3 linked regions of the Astyanax mexicanus genome follow. The protein of the gene in region 3 binds, or shares a complex with, the protein of the main gene of each other region. Links are inferred from orthologs where the notes say so. Each region holds a gene or a part of one and is shown on either strand. Other genes may lie near its edges.

The links.
Region 1: mta3 (region 3) and cdk2ap2 share a complex: the UniProt entries of both Homo sapiens proteins name them as parts of the nucleosome remodeling and deacetylase (NuRD) repressor complex. The link is inferred for Astyanax mexicanus from reciprocal best matches to the Homo sapiens genes MTA3 and CDK2AP2.
Region 2: mta3 (region 3) and chd5 share a complex: the UniProt entries of both Homo sapiens proteins name them as parts of the nucleosome remodeling and deacetylase (NuRD) repressor complex. The link is inferred for Astyanax mexicanus from reciprocal best matches to the Homo sapiens genes MTA3 and CHD5.

Annotation. Positions count from the first base shown.
Region 1 is NC_064414.1:54,930,188-54,940,489, forward strand, and holds the start of cdk2ap2 (cyclin-dependent kinase 2-associated protein 2), read right to left. Parts: upstream 4,181-10,302; 5' UTR 3,643-4,180; coding exon 3,588-3,642; intron 728-3,587; coding exon 636-727; intron 139-635; coding exon 18-138; intron 1-17. UniProt on the Homo sapiens protein: Acts as a component of the histone deacetylase NuRD complex which participates in the remodeling of chromatin.
Region 2 is NC_064431.1:8,374,494-8,385,356, forward strand, and holds the start of chd5 (chromodomain-helicase-DNA-binding protein 5), read left to right. Parts: upstream 1-6,008; 5' UTR 6,009-6,851; coding exon 6,852-6,918; intron 6,919-10,863. Other genes in the region: rpl22 (60S ribosomal protein L22), read left to right, coding at 2,804-2,948. UniProt on the Homo sapiens protein: ATP-dependent chromatin-remodeling factor that binds DNA through histones and regulates gene transcription. May specifically recognize and bind trimethylated 'Lys-27' (H3K27me3) and non-methylated 'Lys-4' of histone H3.
Region 3 is NC_064422.1:39,780,447-39,791,399, forward strand, and holds the start of mta3 (metastasis-associated protein MTA3), read left to right. Parts: upstream 1-5,794; 5' UTR 5,795-6,087; coding exon 6,088-6,115; intron 6,116-9,705; coding exon 9,706-9,773; intron 9,774-10,953. Other genes in the region: kcng3 (potassium voltage-gated channel subfamily G member 3), read right to left, coding at 1,897-2,534. UniProt on the Homo sapiens protein: Acts as a component of the histone deacetylase NuRD complex which participates in the remodeling of chromatin.

The sequences.
Region 1 (10,302 bases), on a different chromosome or scaffold from region 3:
ATGTCTCAGTGCTGTACCTCTCTTGAGTCTCTCCATGGCGCTTTTGCTGCCGGCGTAGGTGGGGCGGATTTCTCGGCTCATCTCCTCAATAACGGACAGCAGCTCACTGTAGGTGGAGCCTTGTGACACTTTCACTGGCTGGAAATGAACAGACAGGGAGTTAGCATCTTCCTCAGACTCAGCTCACACTAACCTCACAGCCACATCTGGCTGGTTGAGACATGAAAGAATAGGAAACTAATTAATAATAAAGATTAGTAACTATATAAAGCTGAAATCATATATCACACAAACATCTTAATATTTTTTTGTACATTGCTCTCATGCAATACCCTTGTATCCTTAAAATGTTAACTTTACAGAAGGAGGAAAATGCTTTTTAACTTTCAGTGAAATAATTTGAGCGTTTCTATTGGTCCATTAATCATTAAATATTGACACAATATAGAGAACCACTGTCAAATTCACATTTTAAAGAGAAAATTAAAAAAGGAAAAGAAATTAGACATTTTATAATAATAAAAAAAATACAAAACTAAGAGTAGCTCAAAAAATTAAAATCAAAACAGGCTGTAAGAACTCTAAAATACCGTGATTACTGCTATTAAAGTTCCCTGTTCTCTGACTGATCTTACCTGTACGAAACCCATCGATGGTGGACCGAAGTCACTGAATGCTGGTCTGAAGTTGGATGAGGAGGGCAGGGACGGTGAAGAGCCGCAGGATCCTGAGGATAATAACAGACGAAAGAGGTTATTATAGTGAAAAATGGTGAGCAATATTACACATGTATATATCTATATATTTATAACTTACAGAGAGACTACACACTGTGGTATAGCTTTAAAACTAATACAAATAAGTCAAAATGAACCTAAATCAATTCATTTTAAAGTAGTGGGGTTAGTGTCTGGCACTTGTAGTAGAGCAGTCAGCATTGTTTGGTTATTTTCCAGCATACAATAAATACATCAGCGAGTATCAATTTAAAATATCGTCCTTAACAGCCGATGCCAATGATTCTAGGAAATGAAAATAAGTAATTATAGGTCAATACTGATTTAATTCTGATATTATTGTGTATTCCTTTTACATGAAAGATGAAGTAACAGTCTTTAAATTCAGTGTTTTTTTTATCATTTTATTTTTTTTGCATTGTAGATTAATACTAAAATAATCCAAACTAAGAAAAAAGTATTAATTTATTCAGGCTTTCAGTAAACAGCTGTGCTGAACTCATCAAGAGTTAATTACCTGAATTTCTTGTCTCTTAATAAAGTGTTCGAGAGCATCAGTTAAAGTAAAGTAGTGAAGAGGTAGAGTTACAGGTATACAGTGAATAGTGAATATTTGAGTAATGTTCGAATCCAGATTATGAGAAGCAACAACTACTCAACTAAATAAAGAAAAAATGGCTTTAAGAAAAAATGATTAAGAAATTGAGGTCAGTCAATCTAAAAAATGTCAAGCACTTTGTAAGTATACCCAAGAGGACCGTTCCAGGAAAGGAAGACAAAGACTAGGGTGAGTCCAATATTTTAACTTAGCTAGCTGAATGAAGTGTAAATCTATGAGGTATCGTAGCGAATTGTGTTGATATACAGAATATCGCAGAATCACAGTATTGTTATATTATGTTATCAAGTGTAAAGAGCTTCATGGAATGAGTTTCCTCGTATCACTGAAACGCAATGCAGGCCAGCAGATACTTTTGGCATTATAGTGTACAAGTCCTTTATCAGGGGGGAAACATTAAGCAGAATATAGGCAGTTTAAAAATGGCCCTGTGTTCTTCATTGCTGTGTTGGATGGTTTTGGGTGGTTAAGCCCAGTAATACAGCCTGTAAAATGAGCTTTTTTTCATGCATTACTGCGTTTGCATAATAATTGTTCTGACTGTCTGAATAGGAGTGCTGTAAAATGCTGTGTGTGATTCTGACGAAGGTTCAGGAAGGCCGGTGTAAACGGGTCAGACTGAACTGCAGATAAAGCCTGAGTTATAGAGGCCATTGCCATCTGTCTCTAATTACATAAATGTGTTCATGCCGCCATATTGTGTGTGTGTGTGTGTGTGTGTGTGTGTGTGTGTGTGTGTGTGTGTGTGTGTGTGTGTGTGTGTGTGTGTGTGTGTGTGTGTGTTTGTGTGGCACAGTAAACAGTCAGATGTGTGTCAGGGCTTCCGGCCGCAGTGGTTTTACAGTGGCAGGAATTTCCCCCGCTGTTCACCTCTGCTTACCGGCAGGACGTGGTCAATAGAACGCCAAAATAAAAGTACTTTTTCCACAGTTTGAAGAAATGTACATGCAAACCTGCTACATTTTAACCTGATTACATTCCTTCCTGTGCCTGTTTTTATAGTTTTTAAACAGAATGCAGAAGGTCTACCATCATTATACACTGTATTGAATAAAAGTGGGAATCATAGGGCATCTCACGATACACAATATTATCACGATACTGTGATTCTGCGATACTCAATATTTGATGCCACATATCGATAATCATGTATCGCAAAGAAAATATTTTGTCCCACCTCTATATGTCTATATGTGACAACTGCATGGGATGTTGCATACAGATGAAGATTAGCTATCTATATTTCCCTGTAATGCTGCTTTAGGTGGATTTTGTCTAAACTTCAATTTTATTAAATCTTAAACAGATTTGTAGCTGCATGAAAATTATTGGTGCTTCCCATTTTTTCTATATTATTCCTTTTTAAAGCTGACTGAGTTTAGAGCTGGACAATAACTATATTGACATTTTATATTATTGCATTGATACATTTTCTTAACATATTGACAACAAGCGTATCAAGGATATCATCAGTACTTAGAATGTGTAAAAAAAATCTTGTTTAATTGGATAATATGCAGCTTAGGTGATACATTTTTGCATTGTGAGAATGTACTTAAATATTACATTCTCATAAATATATCTGTAAAATATTCATAAAAAAATATAAAATGATTTATATAAAACAATTTAATATTAATATACCTGTAATATAAATATACCCAAAATATATTAAACCAAAAAATTTGAATGGCTAATAATCCAGCCTTGGTTGAGTTAACCCTTTCAGACCATACATCCATTACAATCGACATCGTGTATTTGATTTATTTTTTTAAACGTTTTGTTGCAAATAACACTATTTCAGAGCTGTTGTCCATCAGAACAGACCATAAACCAGCCAATAAAGGAGTTAAAGCCAGTGAAAGATTGATAGAGCCATTGAGGCAAAGTAACATCTGATTTTTACTGATTTAATGTTATGTATAACACTTTTTAATCATTGTTTTTTACTCAATATGAAATAAAACATAACATTGCACACAGGCTTTCAACGCAATGGAAATAAACAAAAATATTAAATGTTTTAGTTAATTGGATTTATTTGCTATATAGAGGTTATAGTAGAATATTATTTTCTTTTCTGTGCATTACAGACAGAAAACATTATTTTGAGAACTTTTTCAGAACAGAGATAATTCAGGTCTGAAAGGGTTAATTACAGTATATTAATGAGTCACAGATAAACAGGTAAATACACGGTTTAAAGAGATTAATTGTGGTATAATTACCCGGTGGTGTGTGGTTGGATCCGGCAGGAGCAGGAGCTATGGGTTTATAACTCATACTGAATTCGCTTTGTTGCTCCGTGTTTGTTGTCGGTGGTGTAAAATCTCAGAGCTGAATTCGGATTGTTGAGTTAATGCGGTTTATTCAGCAGCTCGGGCTGAACTACCGACCGGCGTTTAACTCCTTTAACTCCTGCTAAAGTTCAGCTTAAACCCGCGGTTTAAATCCTCTCGGTTTATGTTCTCCTGCCCGCTGTTCTGTAGCGCTGCGGATTATTCTGTATAAAAACTAAATTATAAATAATATTAAAGTAAAAACCGGACTGACAAAGAGAACTACAGCTAATCTAACCAAACCGCTACCGGAGACAAAACCCCTCACACAGACCCGCGCTGATTACACCTCTAACAACCGCTAAAAACACTGATTAACCCGCTTCTGACCGCGGAGACACCGCTCTCTATCACACCGCTGAGTCCCGCAGTTTATAAAACTCAATATTTATCATAAACACAAAATAAAGCGCTGAATCCCCGACCAGCTACCGCTACCGCTTCCACACACACACTCACACCTCACTGCGCATGCTCACAGCGCTGCGTCATCACGCACGACTACGTGTGATAAACGTGCGTAATATGATTATTCCTCAGCTTTAAATATATATATATATATATATATAAATATATATATATATATATATAAATATATATATATATATATATATATATATATATATATAAAAATCACGACTACGTGTGATAAACGTGCGTAATATGATTATTCCTCAGCTTTAAATATATATATATATATATATAATTTATTTTTCAAATATACAGGAATAACTGTATTATTTTCAGTATTTTCTAAATGATATAAAGACAGTAATTGATGATTTAAAAATAATTACACTCGAAACCATTACACACATTAAGAAAAATGAATTAATCAACAACAACAACAAAAAACATATACGAGAACACTTTCATACACATAGCTGGTATATGTTAATGGAATATAAATAATTTAACTTGTAGTTCTTTAATAATATCCTCTAAAAAAGATGTATTATACCAGTGCTATAAATATAAAAAACGTACTATAAATATAAATGTACTAAAAATATTGTGGCGTGGAAGAGGAAGGAAGACCCGTGAGACTCACGCTGAATGCTCAACAGCTCCTTTATTGAACCGGCTTGCCACTCACTTACAGTCTTTAACAAGACTAGGCGAGCTAAAACCATTCCCACAGAGCTAAATAGCCCAAAGGCCACCAACCCAGCTGTGTGTCTCCCAGATGGCAGATCCAGAGTGGTGCCCACCCTCTCTGCATAACCCCTCCCAAGGGAGATGCCCCACCCCTGTCATCCTCGCACACAGGAGAGCAGAAACATGCCTGCAGGCAGCCACACACACAACCCAGAGCTGCCACATAGCCCCCCTCCCAAGGGTCAGCCGTCCCGGCGACCCCACCAACCCAACACAAACCCCGTGTACAACAGAACATTTTTTTTTTTTTTACAATCAGTCGCAAACAAAGTCATTAAGACGGGCGGGCGGCCTCCGTGCCCGCGGCAGCCTGGAGGGGCCGGGCACGGCACCGCCTGCCAGTGGCTCCGAAGAGCCAGAGTTCAGGTCAGGCACGAGTGCAAGGCCGGCAGGCTCCGCACCACCGTCCACAGTGTCCGACAGTCTCGGCCTATAGGGGGCCAGCCTATCACGGTGCACAATCATAGTGCGTCTGCCCCACCGGACCTTATACACCACCTCCCCCAGCCTGGACAGCACCAAGCACGGACCCACCCAGGCCGACTGGAGCTTCGGGCACAGTCCCTTCTTCCGCTGAGGGTTATATAGCCAAACCCTCACCCGCACCACCAACGGGTCCCCAAAGCAGCGCGTGTCGTGCGCACGCTTCTGCTTCTGTCCGGCAGCAGACTGGTTGGAGCGCGCTAGACGGTGTGCTATTTCCAGCGAAGACATAAGGTCCAAGACAAAAGTGGGCGTGTCCGAAGCGTACCCGCCCCCGTCAGGAGGCGCCCCAAAAGCCAGGGAGACCGTCGTCCTCAGTTCGCGCCCGAACATACTGTAAGCAGAGCCGGCGTGAATCCCGTCGTCTCCTGCACAGCGGAGCGACATGCCAGCAGCACTACCGGCAGGTGCCTGTCCCAGTCACGCTGGTTCTTGTCCGACACCATGGCCAACTGCGCCGCCAGCGTGCGGTTAAAACGTTCCACCAGTCCATCACTCTGCGGATGAAGGGGCGTCGTCCTGGTCTTATGGATTCCCAGGATGCGGCAGACCTCCGCCATGACCTCCGACTCGAAATTTCTCCCCTGGTCGCTGTGCAGTTCTTCCGGAACCCCGAATCTGCAAAAGAACTCCTGCACCAGGATATCCGCAGTAGTGACCGCCCCTTGGTCCGGCACCGCGTAGGCCTCTGGCCACTTCGTGAAATAGTCCATCGCCACCAGAACAAAGCGATTTCCAGAGTCCGTCACCGGAAAGGGGCCCAGCACATCCACGGCCACCCGCTCCATCGGGCTGCCGCACTGGTAAGGGTGAAGTGGGGCGCGGGGCGCCCTCGAGGGGCCCTTCTTGGCAGCGCACACATCACAGCAGTGCACGAAGAGTTCCACGTCGGTTCTACACCCAGGCCAATAGAAGCGTTGCCTCAGGCGCTTCAGAGTCTTGGTGACACCAAAGTGCCCAGCCCCAGGTGACCCATGAACTCCCCGTAGGACCGATCCCCTAAGCGTCCGCGGTACCACCACCTGAAAAACGCGCCGCCCGTTCGCCGGATCCTCCCAGGTATGGCACAGCACGCCGTCGGACAAACTAAAACTAGCCCAGTTGGAGCGCAACGCCATAGCAATCGGGCCCAGCGGCACCACCTCCCCCCACGGCGGTGTGACGTTCGCACTGAGCGCGTGTACTGCCCACAATAATTCGCGATCCGCCCGTTGCGCATTGCGGAGCTGCTCTACGGACACCTGAGCCACCCCGACAGCGCCAGTAACATCCCCGGAGATTGCAGCGCAGCGTGCGGTCTCAGCAGATTTCTCCTCAGCACGAGCACAATGTTTGCAGTCGGCGGCCACACACGGCCGGGGCGAGAAAGCATCCGCGTTACTGTGGCCACGGCCCGGGCGGTGCACAACCTCAAAACGAAACTCCTGGAGTCTAGATAACCAGCGCGCGAGTTGGCCCTCGGGCTCGCGGAAACGCATGAGCCACTGTAGCGAGGCGTGGTCAGTGCGCAGCAGAAAGGGCACCCCATACACGTACGCTCGGAAGGCTTTCGACCACCGCGAGTAGTTCCCGGCGCGTTACGCAATAGTTGCGCTCCGCCTTGTCCAGGCAGCGGCTATAGTACGCTATTACGCACTCGGAGCCGTCCTGAACCTGCGACAGGACTGCTCCGAGGCCGTGGTCGCTCGCATCAGTATCCACAATGAAACTCTCAGACACCTTCGGATACGCTAGAATCGGAGCATTGCACAGGCGGCTTTTTAGCTCCTCGAATGCCTGCTCCGCCTCGTCAGACCAGCGGAATTTCACACTAGGCTTAGTCAGAGCATGAAGCGGCGCTGCCACGTCCGCGAACCCCCTAATAAACCGCCTGTAATTCGAGGCGAGCCCCACGAAGCTGCGAACCATTTTTGCGTCTCGCGGTGTGGGCCAGTCACGGACTGCCTCCGTCTTTTTGGGATCGGTTTCCACGCCAGCACCGCTCACTACGTGGCCCAGGAAGCTCACACGCTGCCTTAGCAGATTACACTTTGCCGGATTGAGCTTCAGGTTAGCCGCCTGAATCGCGCCGAGCACCATTTCAAGGTGAGACAGTGCGGAGTCGAAGTCGGTTCCGTGCGCCAAGACATCATCCAAATAAACGACGCAGCACGACCGCGGAACCCCGCATAAAACACGCTCCATAAGACGCTCAAAAGTAGCCGGCGAGTTACACAATCTGAACGGAAGCACCGTGAAATGCCATAGGGCTGAGCCGAGCGAGAAAGCGGTTTTCTCCCTATCCCCTGCCGCGAGGGGCACCTGCCAATATCCGCTCCTCAGGTCTAACGAGCTGAACCAGGCTGAGCCAGACAGCTGGTCCAGCGTATCGTCGATCCTGGGGAGCGGGTAGGAGTCAAGCTTCGTGACAGCGTTAAGTCGCCGATAATCCACGCAAAAGCACCAATTTCCATCCTTCTTTTTCGCAAGGACCACCGGGGCCGACCATGGGCTGCTCGAAGGCTCAATAATGCCCGTACTCGCCATCTCGCGGACTAACTGCTCCGCCGCTACGCGCTTTGCTAACGCCAGACGGTGCGGCCTCAGCCTAATGGGCTGGGCGTCACCCGTGTTTATCGAATGAACCGCAAGGCTAGTTTTAGTACACTCGCGCTCAGACACAGCGAAACTCGTGCGAAAATGGCCGATCAGTTCGCGCAAACGGAGTTGTTGGGGACCAGATAAACCCACACAACTGCGCTCCAGCATCTCCTCTATCGGATCTACACTCAACCCCGCATCCAGCGGACCCTCTACCGTATCACGCACCGAATCACACACATTCCCTCCCACCAGTTCACTTACCCCTAACTCGCCGCGTATCTCTACGGGGAGTCCAGTCACCAGCACCGAGCCCCGTGCACAGTCAATGATAGCTCCAACGCGTGAGAGCAGGTCCTTGCCCAGAATGCACGGGTCGTTGATGTGTCCTACCCAGAACTGTTGTTGAAAGGGCCCCTTGCCGACATCAATCGTCAACTCCGTTAATCCTAGGAGACCTATAGGATCCCCGGTGACTGAAGAGAGAGCGATGCGCTGGCTGTTGTCAGTCACAAACTCGGCCGCTACCTCCGTCGCTAGCTCGGGCCGTATCAGTGAGACTGACGAGCCCGTGTCCACCAGCGCGTTCACTGTCACTCCATTCAATGTGCATTTCAGGAAATAGCCGCTGAGTCCGGCAGTTCCGGAATCAGATCCCGAGGGTAAGCATAGCGTTCCTGGGGCCACCGTAACCCTCACTGGGTGGTCCCGGCTCAGTTTCCCGGCCGGCTGCAGTGCGCTCGCTTGTGGCCACGCCCCCCGCAGCGCCAGCACTCCAGTAGGGCATCAGACCGGCTCCGACCCCACCTCTGCGAATCACGGGCAACCGGCGACGCCCCCCACGGTCCAGGATGGCTTGAGAGGATGAGTTCGGACCGCTCCGCCACCTCCACCGCGGACTCCAGGGTCTGCGGGTCGGCCAGCCTCACGTGTTTGCGCAGCTCGCAGTGTCTCCCCCTGCTGTCAGCGTCTGTCCGCCACTAGCATTTTGGTGGCCGCCTCCGACGGTTGTCGGCTGAAACGTGTTCTCAGCACCCGCGTCAGTTCAGGCAGCTCGCGGCGGCACGGAGCTCGATCAGTACCCTCAGCGCGTCGCCCCGCAGCGCCAGGCAGAGGTTGGCTGCCGTCTCGGCGTCCGTCCAGCCCGCACCGCCCGCCACGATCTCAAGCTGAGCTTCGAAGGCTGTCCAGTCAGCGCTGCCGTCGTAGGGGGTAAGGCGGGGTTGAGCCGTCAAGCCCGCCATCCCGGAGGCTTGCGCCGCCATCATCGCACCGTCCGTTCCACGAGTCGGCGCCGCTGTCCTTGCGCCATCCGCTCCATGAGCCAGCGCCGCCGTCCACGCGCCATCCGCTCTGGGAGTCAGCGCCGCCGTCCTCGCGCCAGCCGCTCTGGGAGCCTGCGCCGCCGTGCTCGCGTCGTCCTCTCCCCGGCCACGACCTCCGAACAGCCCGCTGGCGCCGTCAGGTCCGAGTCCACTCCGCTGGAGAGCCTTGCCTCTAGTCCGTTGGTCCGCTGTCTTCCTCCTCAGCCGTTCGATTTCCCCTGCCATCAGCTCAATATCTTCCAGCAGGGTCACTTCTGACACCAAATGTAGCGCGGAAGAGGAAGGAAGACCCGTGAGACTCATGCTGAATGCTCAACAGCTCCTTTATTGAACCGGCTTGCCACTCGCTTACAGTCTTTAACAAGACTAGGCGAGCTAAAACCCATTACCCCACAGAGCTCAAACAGCCCAAAGGCCACCAACCCAGCTGTGTGTCTCCCAGATGGCAGATCCAGAGTGGTGCCCACCCTCTCTGCATAACCCCTCCCAAGGGAGATGCCCCACCCCTGTCATCCTCGCACACAGGAGAACAGAACCATGCCTACAGGCAGCCACACACACAACCCAGAGCCGCCACAATACTATATATTTTTTAAATATATGAAAGAATTTTAACAAACTAATGTAAATAAAATAATAGAAGCCTTAAGTGTCTATTTTACCAGATTTACCACTGGTATAATTTTTCTGGCGTTGCCTTACTATTATAGACTTTTAGAATAATTAACATTAAGAAAGGTTTATTATTGTTTTTATATAATTATTTATTGAAATTATTGTTTTGTCATTTTAAATAAAGAAATACTTTACACATCCATTGAATACTTTTTTAAACTTAAAAAATGGTTTGTTAAATAAACTTCAATTTGTAAGAGGCCAATTAGTTTTTTTTTTTTTTTTGGTCTTTAATTTGTTCTTAGGTTTTTGCTTCTTATTTTATCTTTTTAGTTGGATATGTAAATTTTGAGCTTATATCGTTGCTGTACAACAAAAAAGAAGTATCTCCTAAACAGCAAGTTTACAGGAAAGACATAAAACCTTCTAAACTTTCAATGGAG
Region 2 (10,863 bases), on a different chromosome or scaffold from region 3:
CCTTGCTAAAGGGCAGTAGCCTTTGCATTTATTCTGTACATTAATTTGACAAATATGCATGTAATATGTATGCTTGTTTTTTGCGGCTAAATTTTGGTCATTGCCAAAGCTGTTAGTGGTACTTCATCCCTCTTGTAAAGAAACTGCAACATTTAACTATAGAATTAAGGTTTTTCAATGTGCATGTCTTTTTATATTTTTTAATCATATAAGATTTGCTATATATAGTTCCCATTGTATTACGATCTGAACAGATAAAATATAGATAAGTTAGATGTTTAAAGTGGATTTTATGGGGCCCCCTTATTAGTGCTGCTGTGGTGAATTTTTAGTCTGTTACATAGAAGTAAAGGTCAATTTATACTTGTCAAGCTGTGCTGTAGGCAACAAGTACCTTATGCCATAGCCTGACGTGCTCCTCCCCATTTTCTTGTTTTCACAGTTTAAAACTGCAGAGTAAAACGCAGAAGTATAAACAAGTAGCGCACAAGCGCAGGCTTTATAAACCATTGGTTATTCGGATCAGCAATTTCAGTTAATACAAAAATAGGCAGATGCGTGATTTTGGGCACCCTAACAGAACAATCCTCCTTTTGCAGAAATAACAGCCTCTAAACGTTTCCTAAAGCTACCAATAATAGTCTAGTTTCTGTTTGAAGATTTATTTTGGACCATTCTTCTTTACAAAACATATCCAGTTTAGTCAGGTTTGATGGATTTTGATTATTGACGACCCAATTTAAATTACACCACAAATGTTCAGATATTCAGGACTGAGATGATCATTCCAGAATGATGATGTTGTTCCTCTGCATGAATGCCAGGAGTAGATTTTAAGCAGTGTAACTGATATTAACAGACCCTCAAATTTGACAAGATTCCCAGTACCTGCACTGACCACACAGCCCCATAGTGTGATGGAACCACCACCAAATTTTACTGTCTGTAGCAAGTGTTTGTCTTGGACTGCTGTTTTTTTTTTCTGCTATGCACACCGCCCTCCTAATAACTCAATTTTAATTTCATTAGTCCACAGCACCTTATTCCAAAATTAAGCTGGCTTGTCCAAATGTGCTTTAACATACCTCAAGGCATTCTGTTTGTGGCGTGTGCACAGAAAAAGGCTTCTTCTGCATTGCTCTCCCATACAGCTTCTCCTTGTGTAAAGTGCGCCGAGTAGTTGAACGATGCACAGTGATCATCTGCAGCAAAATGATGGTGTTGTAGATGTTTGGAGCTGGTCTGTGAGTTGACTGACTTTTGACTGCTTATCTGAGATTTTTCTTGGTCTGTCACTTCGGGTCTTAACTAGAACTGTGCCTGTGGTCTTCCATTTCCACACTATGTTCCTCACAGTGGAAACTGACAGCTGAAATCTCTGCTTTTTGTATCCTTCCTCTAAACCATGATGTTGAACAGTCTGTTTTCAGTTGTTTTGAGGTTCCTATGTTGCCTCTCTTCAGAGAAGATGCAAAGAGGAGAAAAACTTGCAATTGGCTCCTATACCCTTTCTTATAATTTAATTTCTCTGTGTATGTAGGTCAAGGGTCAGTGGTCTTACCAAAGTGTGTTCCAATAATTAGTGCTCAAGGTATTCAAATTAATGAAATGACAAGGGTGACCAAATTAATGCACCTGCCTAATTTTATTTAAATAAATTTTGCACACTTTCTGTAAATCCTATGAACTTCAGCTATATAATATATTTATCTGAAATGACTTGTCAGAACTTAGGATTTATAAAGGAAAATCATGAAAATTATTATATAAGTTATAGGCCAGTATTTTTAAAGTATACGTCAAATTGTCCCTGTGTTTTTTGAAATGTCTAACCTCATAACTTTTGTGGCCCTTGCGGAAGAGGTTCAACACCAGGCGAGAAAAACATTTGTCATTTGTGATTCAGTTCAGAATTGTCTACATCCAGGTTGAGATGCTTTTAAGAATGGAACATTTCGTCCACCCTTATTTAACACTCCTGTTTAATGGTTTGGAGTTAAGCAATTGTTTTAATGTTAGTATATTAAGTATTCCCTTAGACCTCAGTTTCAGTCGCTTGATTGTTTTTTTATGTATTTTATTTAAACTTCTATTGTTAACCATATTTATGGGATTACTTATCTTTTTATTTTTATCTCTACATGGAGTTACAAGACAGTACATGGCTACAATGGCACTGATGATGGATCTCTTGTACAAGAATCTCTTGGAAATGCTCAATAACTATCATGTTACTCCCCTGTAGAGAGGCTGTTTGTAGCATTATTTCCCAGTGCTGGCATACCCCTGCAGTGCAATTTTTCACATGCTCATTTTAAAACTCATGAAGAGCTTGTTAATGAGTTGATGAGTTGAGTCAGGTGTTTTGAGAAGGGAAACACTGAAATGAACAAGGGCACTTGATGACAACAGGGTAAACACTGGTGTTTGCTGATGAGGTTTATTTAGTGTCAGTAAATCAAGATTATTTCTGTAGATGTGTTTGAGGACATTAGGTTATTTTATGCTCAGTGTTTAAAGATGTGATGTAGGCCTAGTTGGTAAGTTAAGAATATGGCGATACACAGCTGTTATTGTACTCTTTGCCAAAACGTCAATACCAACACAACTGCCCATGTAAGTTCTTGATTAGATTGAAAAAGTAATGTGAAAACATAACTGCTTTTGGGCGCCCATGTTTTTATTTTATTTTTTATGGTAAATACGGAAATAATAGATTTTAGTTTAATTTAGGCACCCATAAATGTATTATCTGTCCACTTATAGCAACTGACAATTACATTTGTATTTTGTTTCTCTGAAGGTACCTGAAATATCTCACCAAGAAGTACCTAAAGAAGAACAACCTGCGTGACTGGCTGCGCGTTGTGGCGAACACCAAGGAGAGTTACGAATTGCGCTACTTCCAGATCAACCAGGATGAAGAGGAGGAAGAGGATGACGATTAAATCCTTGCACACTGCTCTTATGGAAGTCAATAAAATTTTCAAAAGAGCCGATTTGTAGTTGTCTCTTTTTTTTTTTTTTTTTGTATGTCAAACATTAGCCATATACAGTCTGATTTTCCTGATGCAGCAGAAAATTAATTCTAGTCAGCATGGATGTTGCAGAGCTTTTTTTTGGTTTGTTTTACTATGTTTAGACTGCCAACCACAATCTGTTTTTTTGTCATCTTTGGTTGATTTTTGATTGTCCGAACCACTAGAAACTGTACAAAATTGCTAATTAGATCCAAAGCACATTTTGTAAGCAAGGTTATCAGCATCTTACTGTTGGCACTCTTCTTAAGACACCTCTTCTTGGGCTACACAACATTCGCTTTAGATGATACTCAAATACTGAGGTTGGGCAAAGAGAAGCTGCAATTGAAAAAAGCATATAAATAGTTTAAGCAAGTTTGATATTACTGCTTAATACAAATCAAATGAACAAACTGAGGCAAAGTTTGCTTTAGACCTTTTATGCTAAAATAAATGAGGAAATGCTTTAATTGGCTCAATGATAAGAGGTGTTGACATCCGTTAAATGAAAAAACTAAAATACAAGAATCTTAAGTGACCAACAGTTCTGGTCAATATTAAGTGGTAAATATTGTTGAGAATGACTGTTTATTAACACAAAAGAACCTATGGTAATGTGGTCACAGACCCTTTAAAAGATGAGTAAAGGTCCTCACAATATGTGTTCATTTACCTGGCCTAATTTACAGAATATAACTATGCTGGGTTAGGTCTGGAGATAAAGGTAGCTTGTACAGGTTTGTTCCAACCATTTAACCCTTCAAATGCTTAAATGAATGTTTAATATGCCATAGAGCTGGTTGTGACCTCATTTCTAAAACAAAATGTTAACAGTTCTGAAATTGTAATTTGTTTCTTTATCATTTTAACCTTAAAATATTTACCGTAAGGTGCCAGCAGGAAGAAACCAACCTGAATGAGATTTCTGACTGGATTTTGAAATTGGTATCAATGTTCAGAAATACGTTGGGCTCTTATGAGCTAAATGGTAACCCACAATACCTGTTTTAGAAATTAAACAAATTTATATATCTTAAATAACGATCTAAAATCCCTGAAACATTTATTTCTAACCTAAGTTATGTAAGTATTATGTATTTGTAAATAATCTGCACTGCCTTTTGCATTTTAAAGGTTTTCAAATCCCTCAGCGAAATCCAAAAGGCAGATCTGTGAAACATACTCGCTGAGAGTAGATGAGCGTAATAGCAAGTGTGTTTGGAGGTGCGCGAGCGGCAGTCGCAGAGGGAGAAAAGCGCGGGAATATAGCTCTAAAGGTAAATTGGTAATTTTACCCGTTTGTGCCCTCGGACACTTCGCTTTCTGAGGTAAAAAGACTAAATAATAGTAAAACTAAACAATATATCGTTCAAATTCTTATTTCCGGCAGTCAAATTGCAATTTCAAGGACACTTGTTCTCTTAACTAATGTTATCTATTGATAACTAACTGATAGCTAACTAACCAACCGGTACGAAGGACTGTCATTATTAGCTTGCATGCTAACTAAATATATTTGGGATACATAAGCTAGCTAGGTTGCTATGACTCCCACAGTTAATTTTATGCTTTAACTTACATTAAGTGTCCAAAAAGCTAGCTTAAATGGATTAAGAGGATGGATCAAATGAAGTTTTTTTGTGTGCCTGTCATTTGTTATTGTAATAATTTATTCAAATTTAAGTATGAAAAAATCAAAAAAATTAAATATTCATAATGTAAATAACTTAAAAAATAGAAAATTAATGCAAATTTTGAGGTATTACATTTGTTACTAAAAAATATACATTAGTAGGGCTTTGTGGAAAAAAAAAATCTTGATTATTCTTTAAATTTATAAGCAATTCTTCATTACGACCTAAACTTTTTTATTTTAGTTTAGTTTTTTTAACAAATAATAAGAATAAGAATTATAAAGTGGAATTGGAACATGATATTTAGGGCACTGCAGTGCACTTGCAATTTAATTGAAACATTGTAGCTCACTAAACAAGTTGAATAGAGACCAAAATGCATTGCAAGTCTGTATTACTAAGCAGAAGACAGTAAGAACAAGCTTTAGCTGATAGATTTGGCTCATATAAGCCAATTATATTTATGAGCAACTGGAATTTGTCATTTGTTAATGGGAGACTTATGTTTTTAAACAACACAACATAGCTTTAATTTTGTGTGTACAGAGCTTTTTAAACATTAACACATTTTTCTCTGTACTTTATTATCTAAAACACACTCAGAGACTGGAGCCACGTCAAGCTCTCCCTACCATCATCCCTCATATCTTTTGTCACGTTTTCCCAATACACTCTTTAGTTTTATTTTCTGTCATTTTCAAACTTTTTATTCTCCTGTCTTTGTACTCCTTCTCTCTTCTCACCTTTTGTCCTTTCTTTTAACTGTTCCTCTTTCTGTATCTTTTGTTTATTTTGTGTTGCACTGTTCTTTCCTACTCCTTCTCTCATTTATCTATTTTCTATTAATTGTTCCTGGCATACATCTTTTCATATTTTGATTTCCTCCTCTTTGTGTCATTAATACCTCGTTATATTCCTTCTGCCTCTCATCTTTTTTTGTTCTTTCAGTCTCTTTTTCTTGCAGTTTCTGTCTCTCTTTCTATCTCCCTGTTTTTCTTTCTTTTCCATCCTATCTTTTTTTGTTTCTTTCTCTCCTGTCTGTTTCTCTCTCTCTCTCTCTCTCCCTCTCTCTGTCTTTGTGTCGGGCTGCGCTGCCTCGTCACCTTGACAACGGCGCTCGTGACTCTCCGGTGGTCCTGAACGCGCGAGCCTATTGCATCGAGCGCTAACCGGCTCTTTAATTGGCCGCGTTCTGCATCTGTTGCACGATCTAGACGGAGATCACTCCTCAACCCAACCCCCCTGAATTAAAAAAAAAATACAGCGCGAGAGCCTTCCTTTACTTTTAAATAAGAGCATCCTCGCGCCACTTATACCCACCTGTAAACCAACCACAACACAGGCTCGCACACACACACACTCACGCGCGCGCACGCGACGGCCCTCTCTCTGTCCCGGTCTGTGCGTGGCGTGTTGGTCGATCGTGCAGAGGGGAAAAACCAAACCTGGCGCGTGTGATGCAAACAAAGACGAGCACAGTTTCCCCCACCCCTCTCTTGCGCTCGTGCGGTGGGTCGGTCGGTCTGGAGGTTGATCCAGAGATGATGTTGCTCGCCGTACACGGCAACGGACAGAAAGCACGCGACAGCACTCGAAACAACTTTCGTCCACGTTTTCCCCTCAACCCCACGTAAGCCTCAGAATGCACGAGCTCGGCGCTGTGAGCGTGTTTGTGTGAGCAGTGTGTGCGCGAGCAATGTGGTTGTGCGCGTGCGTGCATGTACTAGTCCAACTGGTAACTAAGGGGGAAAGCACTACTAACTAGTCGTGCCCCATCATCATTATGGGATGGATCGCCATGGCAACCGACCAGACGTCACAAGCTGGGCATGTGTGTTCCATTTTTGGCTCTTTCTTATTTTCAGAGCGGAGGATTTGGATGGAGGAGGGAATGGAGAGATTTTTTGGGGCGGCTTCCATGTAGGGCAGCCATATTTCCCTTTTTCTTTTTTTCCTCTTTTCCATCTTCTTCTTCTCTTTAATTTTTGGGGGTGCCAAGTGTTTTCTCAAGCCCCTCACCTTCGCTGGACGTCCTTTCTTCCTCTTCTTCACTGAAAGGCGTTGTTGCATTGCTGAAAGGCTGCCTCTGCTGCTGCTCTGAAGGGGTTAAGTTTCCACGACTTTAGTGAGCTCTAGCTTGGATGTGATTTTTTTTTTCCTCCCCCCCCTCCTTTTTTCTCTGGGTAATGCAGTAAAGATGCCCGGATCGCTGAGCAATGAAGAAGAGGGGCAAGACGATCTGGATTTTGAAGACGACATAGCAGGTGAGGGGAGTGTAGCCTAAAGTGGCAAAAAAGGAGGAGGAGGAGGAAGAGGAGGAGGTGGGGGAGTTTCTCTGTCCTTCTGAGCTGAGCTGAGGCTGCTAATGCTGCTACGCCTTTCGAGCTGAATGCAGGGAAAAGGGCTTGACCGCGCTACACTGTTGGAGACTTGAGAGATGGAAGGAAGGAGGGAGTGAGGAGGGAGGGGTGGGGGGTAACCTGGCTAAACGATGGGGCTGCTCTTTTTCAGTCAGTCCTCAGACAGGACCTCAGACAGGACGGACGCCTTTAGCTGAGATTAGGCTATGCTCGTCCACTTCTCTCGTCTTTGGTCTTTGGTGTTTGATTTGGTGGAAGATCATCTCTTGCTTCTGTGCCCTTTATTCTGCTTCAGTCTGAGTCATATGAGTCCTTGCATATAAATTAGCTAGCTTTTATGCACACTATTATTTACACTTTACATATTACCGTTATTACTATTTTGTAGATCAGCTCTAATGATTTATGCATTGTTCAAGATTTTTCCTCTACATACTGTCTTAATAGACTTGCCACGTGTGACATCCCTGGCTTTGTGGCCAACTTTCGAGGCAGAAGAGCAAAAAAGGATTGGGCTGCCCTCTTTTAGTCCTCAGACAGGACCTCAGTATAGACGCCTTCAGCCCATATTATGCTTTGCCCAGTCCTGTCCACTTCTCTGGGCTATGGCCTTTTGGTGTTTGATTTTTGGATGTCTTTGTGCCCCTTATTTTGCTTAAGTCTGAGTCATACGTCCTTGCATATGAATTAGCTTCATAGACCTCTGTCTGATATAGTGATTTTGTTCATTATTTCTTCCCTGTTGTTACTGTCCAAGTTGACTATATGTATATGTGTATGTGTCTGATGTAGTCTGATGATGAGCTTTTTTTGATATTTAATATATAAAATGAGCTAAATGTAGTACATTATTCTGGAAAAGCCACGTGTGATGTCCATGGCTTCACTATAACTCTGTGGTCAACTTTCAAGGTAAGGGAGCAAAACCTGGCTAAATGATGGGGCTGCTCACTTTCAGTCCTCAGTAAGGACAGACACTGGTGCACTGGTAGAGGAAGATCCCTTTTCTTGGTGCCCCTTATTCCGCTTTAGTTTGAACCAGACTAATATCAGCCTGATGCAATTTTCCTTGTATATGCTAAATACCGAAAATGTATATGCATTAGCACTTTCATGTTCACCATTTTGGACCTCTGTCTGATATAATTGTGCAGATTTTTCAGATTTTCTGATTATATAAATCTGTGTGTACCAGCCAAGCAAAAAAGCAGCAATTTCTTTCTGATTGAGGTGACAGTGTGTATTCACTCCCTTCCTTATTTTGGGATATAATGTTTGGTTGTGTTTTGTCTATCATATCCTAGACTTGTACTGCCTGTAAGGGCCACGTGTGACATCAATGGCTTCTCTGTGGTCCAAACCTGGCTAAACGATTGACAAGCTCTCATTAAGTCCCTAGAAAGGATGGACGCCTTTATCCCAGATTAGGATTTGGCCTTTTTACTTGTTTGGTTTTGGTCTGGTGGAAGAGAAGATCTCTTCTCTTGTCCCCTTGTTCTGCTTCAGACTGCATATTTGCATATGAATTATAGTTAGCTTTCATGCACACCATTTTGGATCACTCTCTGATATTACAATGCAGATTTTTCAGATTTTCTTATTGTATACATCAGTGTGTACCAGCCAAGCAAAAAAGCAGCAATTTCTTTCTAATTGAGTTGACAATGTGTATTTACTCCCTTTCTTAAAATGTAGTGCAGCCTTTAATATCCACATGTGACCTCCCTTGCCTCACTATCTTTGTAGTTGGTATTATAGTAGCATTAGGTAGACACAGTTTTCCTTGCATATGAATTATTATTAACGTTAGATTATATTATTTAGGATCAATATTTTACACTTAGACTAATTGAATGTTGTGTGTTCCAGCTAAACTCTAAGGCAGTCATACCTGATCAGCCTGGTGAGTCTTTCTGATTGAGTTGACAGCCTTTATTACCTTGCTTAAAATGTAGTGCTGATATCTAGAATTATGTGTGACATCCCTGGCTTGCTTATCTCTGTGGCTAACATTGGGCTCAATGATGGAGCCTCTCTTTTAGCCCTCAGGCAGGACAGAAACCTTTATTCCAGATTTGGGTTTCCATCATCCACTTCTCTACTCTTTGATCTTTAATATGGTGGGAGAAGATCTCTTGTCTTAGTGCCCCTTATTCTGCTTCAGTCTGTCCCAGACTTTCATCAGCCAGATGCAGTTTTCCTTGCATTTGAATTATAGCTAGCTTCCATGCACGCTATCGCATTTGGATTTCTGTCTGATATCATTACATTAGGGCATCTCAAGATCACTGCAATGCGATTCTTAGGGAGTTTAGAGTGCCTAGGTTTCAATAATAATATCCATAACTGATGCCACATACTGAAATATTGTGACAACATATTCCTACCCTAAAAAATGTGTGCATGTGAATCAAGACATAATAGCCTCATGCCTGATCAGCCTGATGAATATTTTTCTAAGATTCTTCAAGCCTTTTCACAAGAGACACACTTGTAGCCACCTCTACGGTCAACTTTAGAGGGAGTGAGCATAACCTGTCTAAACGATGTGGCTGTTCTATTTCATTCCTCAGAGTGGACGCTCATATTCCGGGTTAGGGTTTGGCCTTGTTTACTTCTCTAGTCTTTAATCTGGTGGAAGAATTTCTCTTGTCCTTCATATAAATTAGCTTGCTATCGTGCACACCATTTTAGATTTCTACTTGATATTATTTTGTGCATCAAGTCCAATTTATCCTCCTTCATACTGTATTATTAGAATATCACAATGTTCTGATACATGCACATTTCCTCTAATGCATAGCACAGTAATTCCCTTTAAATTTTTGCTGCAGTTTTCAGTGTTCTTTAAGCACTGAAGATATCCACGATAATCCTAAAGTACATTGTCAAAATGATAAAAATATATATATATATAGCACCGTACAATTGGGCTGCACAGTATATTGTTTCAGCATCATCTCAATAGGTGCATGTGCTACAATCACATTGCCAGAAAAGCACTGTCACACAAAGCTAATTTAATCATACATGTTGCGCTATAGCTAGTTTGATAAAAAATATTTAGAATTTTCTCATCCTGCATATTTTCATGCCATGGCGTGTATTTATGTTACTAACTGATTTTTTTGAGAAATCTGGTAAAAGTTCAGTATAGTTTCTGCCCTTAGTGATCAGGCATCGTCCTCTGCATTGAGAGATGAGAGATGACCCCTTGCTTAGATTGCTTATATCATTGATGTCCTAATCCAGTGTAAATGATCAGTAGGCCAGAGCTGATCCAGGTGTATATTACATTTTGGTAATATAAGGCCATATTAGAGTCTGTTTCAGACCTTTGTTTGCATTAATGTTGAATAAAAATGAAGATGTTAAAAATGTTAATAAAGAAGTGCCTGTGTAGGTTTTGATGTACTAAAAACGATATCTACTGTCAAATCTATCATTATTCCTTTATTTGGAAGCTTACTTTGCTAGTAATTTTAAGCTTAGTGTAAACACAGTGGCGATTTGGTTTAATTTTATTTGGCTTTGCAGTTTTCCCAGTTTAAATAGATGACATTGTGTAATACATGGGAACACAATACAATAAGAAATTTTACATGTTCAAAGTCACTTTGTGAACTTGGCATTAAACAAACCTAGACTAAAAACATAGTGTATTCATAACATTTTTATTTTACTTAAGCATTTTAAAAGATGTGAGGGTTTGGCTTAAGGTATGGAGACTGGGTTTAGTGGAGAGGTAGCTGTGCAGAAATATTGATAGTTTATATTGATTATTCATTTTTTTTTATGTGTAAGTTCAAATTTCTCCTGGTCTTCCCTTTAAATTAAATCCATTTCTAT
Region 3 (10,953 bases):
TACCTGACCAGATCTATTCTGTTTTTTTGCTTTATCTTTGGTCAAATTTGCTATCGGGTGTCTGAAATCAGGTACTGTTTTAGTACCTGCTCACTCTTGGTTGTAAGTGATGAAACCATTAAAGTGATGTTTAAACCTTGCAGAGTTCTGATTGGCCACAGGGTATTGCCATTATATGCAATCTCACAAAACTGCGGTAGTGGCTGTGTCCCGATTGTGTAGTACACACTAATACTTTAAGGCAGTATCTTGAAATTAATTCAAAATAAGTTGATTGATAAGCATGAACACATAGGTATGATAGGACAACAGATTGCAAAAATAATAATAATAATAATAATAATAATAATAATAATAAATTCAGTGCAAATGCAAACATCTTTATAATACTCATGCTTTTCCACAGAATTCATTTTGCAATATGTTCCCCTATCCTACATATATGTTCAGTAGAATTCCTTAAAATTCCTAAGAATCCTACCAAAGGGGCTCTGAGTGGTTCAGCGGACTAAGGCACTGCCACTAAGATCGACGGTTTGAATCCTGTTTATGCAGCTTGCCATCGGATACCTGAGCCCTAAGAGAGCACAATTGGCCTGGCTCTCTCTGGGTAGGTAGATGGCACTCTTTCACCTCATCACTCCAATGGGTGATGTCAATCATCACAAGGCTGCATCTGTGAGCTGTTGTATCCGAACTGAGTTGTTACGCTTTCCTCCGAGTGCGCTGTGATCAGCAGCAGTTCGAAAACAGGCATGTGCTAGTCTTCACCTCTTCTCCTTGTGTTGGGGGGCATTACTAGTGATAGGGGGAGTCCTAATGAGTGGGTTGGGTAGTTGGCTGTGTAAATTGAGGATAGTAAAATAATAATGATAATAATAATAATAATAATAAAATTATGAAAACAAAAAAGAATTCTACCAATAAAATGTGGAGCACAGTAAAATAACTGTGTTAAAATAGCATTTGTTTGCATGGGTAAGGCTATGCACTTATCACTAGCATTATGAGCCTATTAGAAGCATAGGCTAAAAGTGCTGCATTATGGAATGCTGGGGAAGAACAGAAGTGGACTATCCTGTTTCACTACACCACAATCTGCACAGTTTGTTCCTACACCACATTTCAAAATTGTTATGCAAATTGGATTTAGGTGTCATAAAGATTTTTTTTGTTTTGTTTCCCAATTAAACTTATGAATGGTATTGTGTCTCAGGGCTCTTTGGATCACTGAAATCAATCTCAGACACCTGTAAAAATTAGTCTGCCATGTGAGCCCAATTAAAGGAAAACTACTTAAGAAGCATGTTCCACATTAGGCAGGCCACAGGTTTCAAGTAACATGGGAAAGAAAAAGGACCTCTCTGCAGCCATAAAGTCAATGTCTTATATAGTGCAATGCATTGGACAAGGTATGAAAACATTAAATTTTTCATGAAAACTTAAGCGTGATCATGGTACTGTGAAGAGATTTGTGGCTGATTCGGAGCACAGAGTGGTTAGTGCACATAAAGGCAAAATGAGGAAAGTTTCTGCCAGACAAATCCTTCGGATTAAGAGGGCAGCTGATAAATTGCAAAAAGGAAACTGCAAAGTCAACAAATTACCATTTTCATTTCTTTACAACCTGTAAAATGTTTTGAAACTTCGCTGTGCATAATAATTTGGAACAGTGAGTTTTTTTCTTTGAAGAATATACTTTTATTATCAGGAGGTTTGTTCAATAAACTTCGATTTATACTCTTTTATTATACTGATTTGCATTTTTATTATTTGTCATTTGCATCAACTATTTAGAAAAATCTGGTAAAAACTATAATTTGCATAATAATTTGGAACGCCGTGTAGAAAACCAAAAGTGCCTTTTTTATTTATCATTATCTCCACTCCACTCACCTGTGCTCCTCCACCGTGTTGTTCTTGGCCGTGTCCCAGTCGGGCAGGGTGCTCGCGCACAGGATGACCATGGAGATGATGACGAAGATGACGGAGACGGAGGCGAGCACCTGCGCGGCCACGGAGGACGCGGGGTCCTCGAACGTCCTCCTCATCCTGGCCAGCCAGGAGCGCGCCTCCTCCTCGTGCTCCTCCGTCGAGTCCTCCGCCGCCGAGTCCCTGCGCCGCACCTCGTCGTCCACCGCGTCCGCCAGCTCCTCCTCGGAGAGGCAGGTGTAGGTGTCGGACATCCTGTCGTCCAGGCGCCGCTGGCAGCAGAACTCCAGGTGCGAGCTCTCGAGCCCCCAGTAGAGCATCTCGTTGTAGAAGGAGAGCTCGCACATCCGCGGCACGAAGCGCAGCTTTCCGGAGCGCACGTACAGCATGATGAAGACGAACGCCTCCGAGTGCCGGTCGAAGAAGAACTCGTTGCGCTCGCGGTCGTAGTCGTCGCACACCTCCAGCACCTCCTTTTCGGACGCGCAGCTGTGCAGGCGGCTGACCCGGCGCAGCGGAAAGTCCCGGATCACCTCCCGCGTGAAGGCGTACTTGGTGCCGCCGACGTTCAGGATGCAGATGTTCTTCTTACCAAACTTCATCTCTTCAAGCGCGCGAGGAATAAAGGGGGGTAAGGGGGAGGAGGATAAGGAGGAGTGGGGGGATTAGTTACTCTAATCACCTGTTTTTAGGTGAGAAAAGTAGGAAATTTGGATTTGGGTTTGGGGACAGCATCGTTTTCCTGCGCGCAACGTGAAGACGCGCAGACACACGCGCTCCGGGACGCGCAGCAGCTCCCGCCGCTCTGGAGCCGCGCTGGAGACTGTATTCTATATCCTTGTACTATTCCAATAACGAGGAATAAGGAGAAGCTGCTGGTGCCACTGCTGCTGCCGCTACCACTGCCACTGCTGCTGCCACTGCTCCGAGTTTGCAGCCAGGAGAAGGAGCAGCAGCAGAACGAGCTGCCGCGAGTTTCCTCCCCATCTGAACTCCAGCCCCTCGGAATACAGGGGGGCAGTTCGTGCACGCGGTGATGTCACGCCGGCGAGACTCCAGTCCCGTTACGCACTTTTACGCACGCGTGTCCCGCCAAGCCGCGGAGCGGGGCGGGCCGAAACCAAAGCCCTCATAACAAGGAGCCCACCCTCTTCAACCCTAACCCTCTAACTCTAAAAAATACGATAAAAAAAGATAAAAAGATTTTTTTAAGTAGTCTTTGTTTTAGTTATTTTTTCATTTTATTATTTGTTCAAAGAAACAACACGTTCAAAGAAAACGTGAGAATTTAGAGCATTATGAAAATATGGAGAACAAAAGAATCGAACTGCAATTCACAGATTGAATAATAATATTGAGATGAGATCAGGTAAAACAACATTTTATTAATCCCAGAAGAGGGAAATACAAATGATCAAACATTAAAATGGTTGGTTTATTAATAATTAATTTAAGATATGAGATTTTAGTCCAATGTTATCATTTTACAGCCAACTATTACTTGAGCAACACAATTAACCATTGACCACAATTAACAATGAACTTATTCAGCATGAAAAACAATAAAAAAAATAGGGTGTAAGAAAATATCAATACATTTAGGTGCTCTTATCTGGCAGGTAATGCTGATGGACTTTTCCTGTGCAACAGAGGTAACTCACGGTCTTCCTTTCCTGGGGTGGTCCTGATGAGAGCCAATTTCATCATCAACGTTTTTGATGGCCTTTGAGAGGAGACTGCGCTTAAGGAAACTTTCAAAGTTTTTGTATTTTTTCAAATTAACTGAGCTTCATTTCTTAAATTATTTTTTTAACTTAAGTGATTCAGTTTTTGAGTTCAGCGCAGCTGTTAACTGAAAGCCTGAATTCCAGTGACTCTACTTCATAAAGCTGACTGAAAAAATGACAAGATGTGCAAAACTGTCATCTAAACAAGAGGTACTACTTTGAAACATCTAAAATATACTGTGGTTTATTCAGTTTGTGTTTGTTTACTAAATAATTCCTTATTTTTTTCTTCATAGTTTGGATGACTTGCAGAACATATATTTTTTAAATGATGCACAACACTATTAAATGAGATTCTAAATTAGTTTAACTGTTTAATGTTTTTTTTCTGCAGTCAGTTTGGCTGCACTAATGTTTCCCAGAAAAAGAAGTATTTTATTCAGTTCACCTCACTCTACTTCATTCTAGCTTGCTCTGCTTTGCTGTACCTCACTGTACGTCATTCTATAATGATAATAAAGTTAAATTTATTTTGTTTAGTAACTTTATTATGGTACTTCAAACATATTTGGGTCATTATCAGGCATACTTGCAGCAGGGCAAAGATTTTAAGCACACCAGCAGGTCCAAAACAAAATGAGGGAAAACCCTCTAATGTGGCTGAATTAAACCCATTGTACAAATTCCTTCATCGAGAAACTTATTGCCAGGTATCGCAAATGCTTGATTGCAGTTATTGCTGCCAACGGTGAAAAGATACACAAGTTGAAAAATTTACAGAGTAATTTCTAAGACTTTGGGACTCCAGTAAACCACAGCGAGACCTATTATTCAAAAATGGAGAAAACACTGGTGAACCTTCCCAAGAGTGACCGGTCTATTATAGTGTATAATTATGATTTAAAAAGCAAAGAAATTTGTAAGCGGGGCAAAAACTTTTTCACACCACTCTCCTGTCCCGCCCCCCTTAAATTACTGTATTGTATTGTGTACTAATCTTAGGCGTACTTAGGCTCTGCAGCAGGACAATGAGCTGAAGCACACCAGTAAGTCCACCTATAAATGTCTAAAATAATAATAATAATAATAATAATAATAATAATAATAATAATAATAATAATAATAATAATAATAATAATAATAATGAAGCAAAATTAAGGTTTTGGAGTGAAATGTGGAATTTATTACAATAATCTTTTTTTGACCCTTATACTATTTCAACTTTATTTTTTAGATGAACTGTTTTTAAATGTGTGGCCCTAAAAAGCTGTCATAGGTTTGGATATATTTAAATAAATCATTTGGATATAAATTATTAAACTATACTTTTTATATTTACTTGGGTTACCTTTGTCTGATATTAAAATGTGTTCGATTATCTGAAAAATACAGCTCTGCAAAAAATGAGACCACTTAAAAATGATGGGTTTCTTTGATTTTACCAAATGGAAAACCTCTGGAATATAATCAAGAGGAAGATGGATGATCAGAAGCCATCAAACCAAACTGAACTGCTTGGATTTTTGCACCAGGAGTGAGCAGCATAAAGTTATCCAAAAGCAGTGTGTAAGACTGGTGGAGGAGAACATGCTTGAAAACTGTGATTAAGAAACAGGGTTATTCCACCAAATATTGATTTCTGAACTCTTAAAGCTCTGCAACTTTTTTGTTATTTCTAATTTTCTGCAAATAAATGCTCTAAATGACAATATTTTTATTAGGAATTTGTTGGAAATGTTGTCCGCAGTTTATAGAATAAAACAACAATGTTAAACCTATACTTATAAATAGGAAAATTAGAGAAATTGATTCAGAAACTGAGAAAGGACTCAGAAAGTCCACTCTGAATGGCTAAAAAAAAGTTGAATTCTCTTGAAATGCCACTGTGTACATATTTTTTTCTCATAATATTACAAGTCAACTTTTTTTTTATTTAATATATTTTTAAAAAGGGCCCTAAAATGCTTTCATATGTTTGGACAGATTTGGCCCTTAATAAATGAAAAATGTAGGTATGACAAAAAAAGCAAAAACAAAAGAATCTGTGAGGGGGGCAAAAACTTTTTCACACCACTCTCCTCCCCTCCTCCTCCTCTTCCTCCTCCCTCATGAGGAAGCTCCTCTCCCTCCCTCCCTCCTCCCTCTCTCTCCGTGAGTTACTGTATTGTACTGTGTACTAATCTTAGGAGGGGGGCTCCTCAACAAAACACACTGAAAAAAAGAAAAAGGAAAGAGGGGGGAACAGAAAGTAGCCTCCCGCTCATCTCGTGCTTCATTCACCCCCACCTCTGTAGCTGTAACTGTAACAGCGTATAACCTAGCTACCGCTTTTATTAGTCCGCTGTGCAGCACACCCGCTTTTTATTTAGGCCTTTATTTATTTATTTTAGTTTATGGTCTGGTTTTTTAACACTCCGGGAGGGCAGAAATGGCGGCCAACATGTACCGGGTCGGAGGTATGTCAGTCTGATCATTTCTGTTTAAAGGTAAAGTTTCAGCGTTTCTTCAGAGAAACGAGAAACGTGGGGGGGTTTAGGAGGAGTTGGACGTTTTGTAGATGTTTTAGAAAAGGGGTTGATAATGATTCATAGGTGTATTTTGGTGTTTGATGTGGATCAGGCCTCTAAAACTATGGTAGGCTAACTAGAGGAATGGTGGTGGAGAATCCAGTTGAATCCAGGTCCAGAAAGTGAAAATCCATTCCGGGATTGTATTCCAACTGCACGTGGAAGATAAGCTGCAGCTGAGCTTCCCAATGCAGTTGGAACAAAATCCCGGAGCGGATTTTCAATTTCTTGACCTGGATTCACCTGGATAGCTACTAACACCTCTGCAGGGATCTAGCTTGGCTAAGCTAGCTGAGGAGCTGCAGCAGAGCTGTTTGTGCAGTTGGAACAAAATCCTGGTCAGGATAAGGTTATAGCTAACCTAAAATAATGGATCTGGATTCAGCTAGCTAGCTAGATTAGCTGGTTAGCTAGCCAACCTACCACATCTGCAGGGATGGATTAAATTGAGATCGTTAGCTTAGCTAGCATAGCTAGCCAGCATGTCCAGGTAAATTCAGGTCCAGAAGCTAGCTTACTAGCCTAGCTAGCTAACTACTTTATGCTAGCTAATGCTAAATCCCCAGGTTTTTGTTCCGACTGCATGGGCTAGCTAACGTTAGCTACCTAGCTAGATAAGCTAGTTAGCATAGCAAGGCCATCATCACCATCACCTATGCTAAGCTAAGATAAGCTAAACTAGCTCTACTAGACACACTGGTTATCTATCAGACCTGGCGTCCAAAAATCGTTCCTCACAAATTAACCCGCACACTTTACAACCAAACTGGGCCCTAGTTTAAAAGTTAACAAATCCACCATAATTTATTGGACGGGTTATTTTATATTATCTATTTCTTTGTGACCGTTTCACCCCAGTTTCTGGCTCCCATCCATCCATTAACGCTAGTTTAACAACGTTAGCGTTAGGTTAGCTAGCTGAAATCGCCGCCGCCAAACAATTAAGCTGTAAAAAAGATTATATTTCAAGTTACAGGCTTTTATAAAACACATGCGAGGTTTAGTTAGTGTCTAAACACTCTGTACAATCTGCATTTTGTACCATTTAGTAGCACAAATTCGTTTAATAGGCGTTTTAAGTTGGGTTTTAAACGTGTGTTTGGCATCACCGTTCAGAGCAATTAGCCGGCTAACTACAGAAAATTGGCCGACATTGTTTCGTGGCGTAGGTTAGCAATAGGTGAAGCTGTGGCAGAATAAAACGAGGCTGGACATGAGCTGTGACAAACTATACTTAAGCTATATTACTTAGTTATGTTTAAAGCTTTAAAGTCTTTTAATAGTCTGAAAATGCGTAGAAACGAGTGCTTTCAGTTTCAGGCTCAGTGTATCGGAATGTGACTGTGATGGGCCCGTTTTATTAGGGATAATATGGAGCTAAAGTAGTTAGCTAGTTAGCTTATAAAGGTAGAAAATATAACTAGAATATTTCGACACTTGAAACCTTCCGATAGATAGATAGATAGATAGATAGATAGATAGATAGATAGATAGATAGATAGATATTCTGAAATTGCTGTAGACCAATGTACAGATATGGCAATGATACCTAACCTAATAATAATATACAACGTGTAACTACATAAGTTAAAAAAAAAAATAATAAAAAATCTGCAGTTATAATATAAGAACAATATACAACTATAAGAATATAATAAGAACTACAAGTGCAAGTAACTAAAGCTGTCAGTCCACTGTAAACAATAAGGGTGTCCCTAAAATAATATCACAATATCACTGCCCATGCAATTCCCTCACATTTCTAGGTAGGATAACCTACAGCTCTGGAAAAAATAAGAGACCACTTCAGTTCCTATTATTCAGTTGCTTTATTATTATTGTTTAAAATGTAAAATGAGAATTGTTGTTTTATTCTTTAAACTATGGCCAACATTTCTTCCAAATTCCAAATTAAAATATTGTCGTTTAATGCATTTATTTGCAAACAATGAGAAATGGCTGAAATACCAAAAAAGATGCAGAGCTTTCAGACCTCAAATAATGCGAAAAAAAGTTTATGTTCATAATGTTTAAGATTAAAAAAATCAATATTTGGTGAAATAACCCTGTTTTTTAATCACAGTTTTCATGCATCTTGGCATCATGTTCTCCTCCACCAGCTTTTGGATAAATGTATGCCTTTACTCCTGGTGCAAAAATTCAAGCAGTTCAGCTTGGTTTGGTGGCTTGTGATCATCCATCTTCCTCTTGATTATATTCCAGAGGTTTTCAATTTAGTAAAATCAAAGAAACTCATAATTTTTAAGTGGTCTCTTATTTTTTCCAGAGCTGTATTATACAGAAGATTTTCAAACAAAAATCTGTAAATCAAACAAACAAAACAATCCTGTATTTTTTTTCTAGAGCTGTATAGCTAATCTGGGCTCCGAGTGGACTAAGGCACTTCCAGTATGATTGGGAGATTGCCGTAGGTTCAAATCCCAGGCATGCAGCTTGCCATCAGCTGCTGGAGGCCTGAGAGAGCACAGTTGGCCTTGCTCTGTCTGGGTGGGTAGATGATGCTCTTTCCCCTCATCACTCCTAGGGTGATGTCAATCCGAACAAGGCTGCATCTGTGAGCTGATGTATCAGAACCGAGTCGCTGCGCTTTCCTCTGAGCGTGCTGTGATGCTACTTGGTAATGCTGCATCAGCAGCAGTTGGAAAAGAGATGGTGATTGACTTCACATGTGTTGGAGGAGGCATGTGCTAGTTCTCACCCTCCTTATGTTGAGGCATTGCTAGTGATGGGTCGTGATCAGTCGTGAAATTTCCTCAATACTTAATATTCTACAGCCAACTGTCAGAGATGGAAGCTTAGGGATTTGCAGTAACAGGTACTAAAATAACTAATTTACAGTATTCACATAGCAGAATGTTTAATGTTCTATTTCTGTGCATATTATGTGTTTATATCTGAATTCTGCTTTTTTCCTGTCTGTGTTCTGAAATCATAGGATCCTATAAACTGAGGGAACAGTTTATTAAACATCTCTGTACTTGTAACAAAGTTTGCGATATAATATTGAAAGAATCTCTGTGGTAGCAAAAACCCCCTTCTCATTCTCACAATATGGTTTTATATGTATTGAAATGAGATGAGTGCCATTCATAATCATAAGTAGAGTTTACTAAGATGACTACTATGTACTATGTGAGATGAGATGATTTTCTTTGGTATGTTATCATTAATATCACCATATATACAGTTCATGTTTCTGGTTTTAGTCACTACTAAACCACAGAGTCTCATCTTTGCACACTGTACTGTACTGTTTACTGAACACTGTGGAGTTCTGTCTTCAATCATAAGCATCGTAAAATCACACATTCTGATGGTGTAAGGAGGGCTTTAACTGTTGCTTTTTACAGATGCATGTGTCTGTTTCTGTTTACAGGTAATGTTATGAGTTTGTGCTTTTTGGGCTGATAAGCAGGCAGTGCAGAATTAAATGCCATCTCTGTTTTTTCTTGTTGCAGATTATGTCTTTTTCGAGAATTCTTCAAGCAATCCTTATCTGATCCGGAGAATAGAGGAACTGAATAAGGTACAGCACTATGGAGGGAATGGAAAGTAGCTGTTGTGGGTTGTTTTGGTTGTTTTCAGGAGTAAAGACTTAAAGTAAAACCAGAATCCAGGTAATTTCAGGACTTGGAAAATGACTTTTTAGTTGGTAGGGAATTTTGTCTGCAAGCTGTGTGAACTGTTTATATGCTGTAGCACAGGGGTTCTCAACTGGTCTTAGCCTGGAACCCACATGTTGTGATGGTCATCAAGTCGCGAACAACTTTTATAGAATACAAACCATAATTTAAACATATATATGCATGCAAAGGGAATTAAGAGTTTTTTTTTAAGAAACTGAGGGGAAACACGACAACTACATGTATAAAAATGACAATAAAATTAAATATTAAAACCGTACAAAATAAATAAGGCCACAAAATGAGATTTTTTCACTTCTCTGCATATCTTTGCATTCAGAGTACATTAGTAAGAAAAACTCTTTTTTTTCTCAATATATAAGCTGAATACAAAACCACATGAGCATTAATTATTTTTAATTTCTAATTATTTTATTTTTGGGTCCTGACCCACCAGTTGAGAATTACTTCTGTAGCAGATTCAGGCTTTATGAAGGGGGGGGGGGGGGGTGTTGCAAAGAGGGGGTGTGGCTAAAACTAAATGGGCATATATGGATAAAATAAATGCAAATTTAAGAATGGGAATGAGTTTTATAGACTTTGTGCCATAACTGACAACAATTTATACTGTTTTGTGCCATCAAATCAGGGCTCCAGACTTACATGGTCCCACCGTCCCTGGGACAGCAAAAATAGGGTTGGGATTAAAGCTCTTTTAGAAAACTTTCAGGATGAAGAATCTGTGATTTATAACCAGTTATGAGTTGTTTATGAGGAGGCTGCCTACTGGTTGAAATATGACTGGGCTTTCTTAATGTTTACTGCAGAGTCTATTTTACGGATAAAGTAGAGAGCCAATCAGCGTATAGTCCAGAATGTGCCAAAAAAATGACATAACTGTGGAAAAATACACAAATAAATACAACAGTGTAATAGTATAAAAATAAAAAATGGCTGATGGTCAGTTTGGGATGTCTACCAGAAAGCTTCGGGGTAGTCGTGAAAAAGTTAGTCTGGAGCCTAGATCAAATAGAGTTCATCCTAATGTTCATCACACTATACTGCACTTTTGGGCACTTTTTT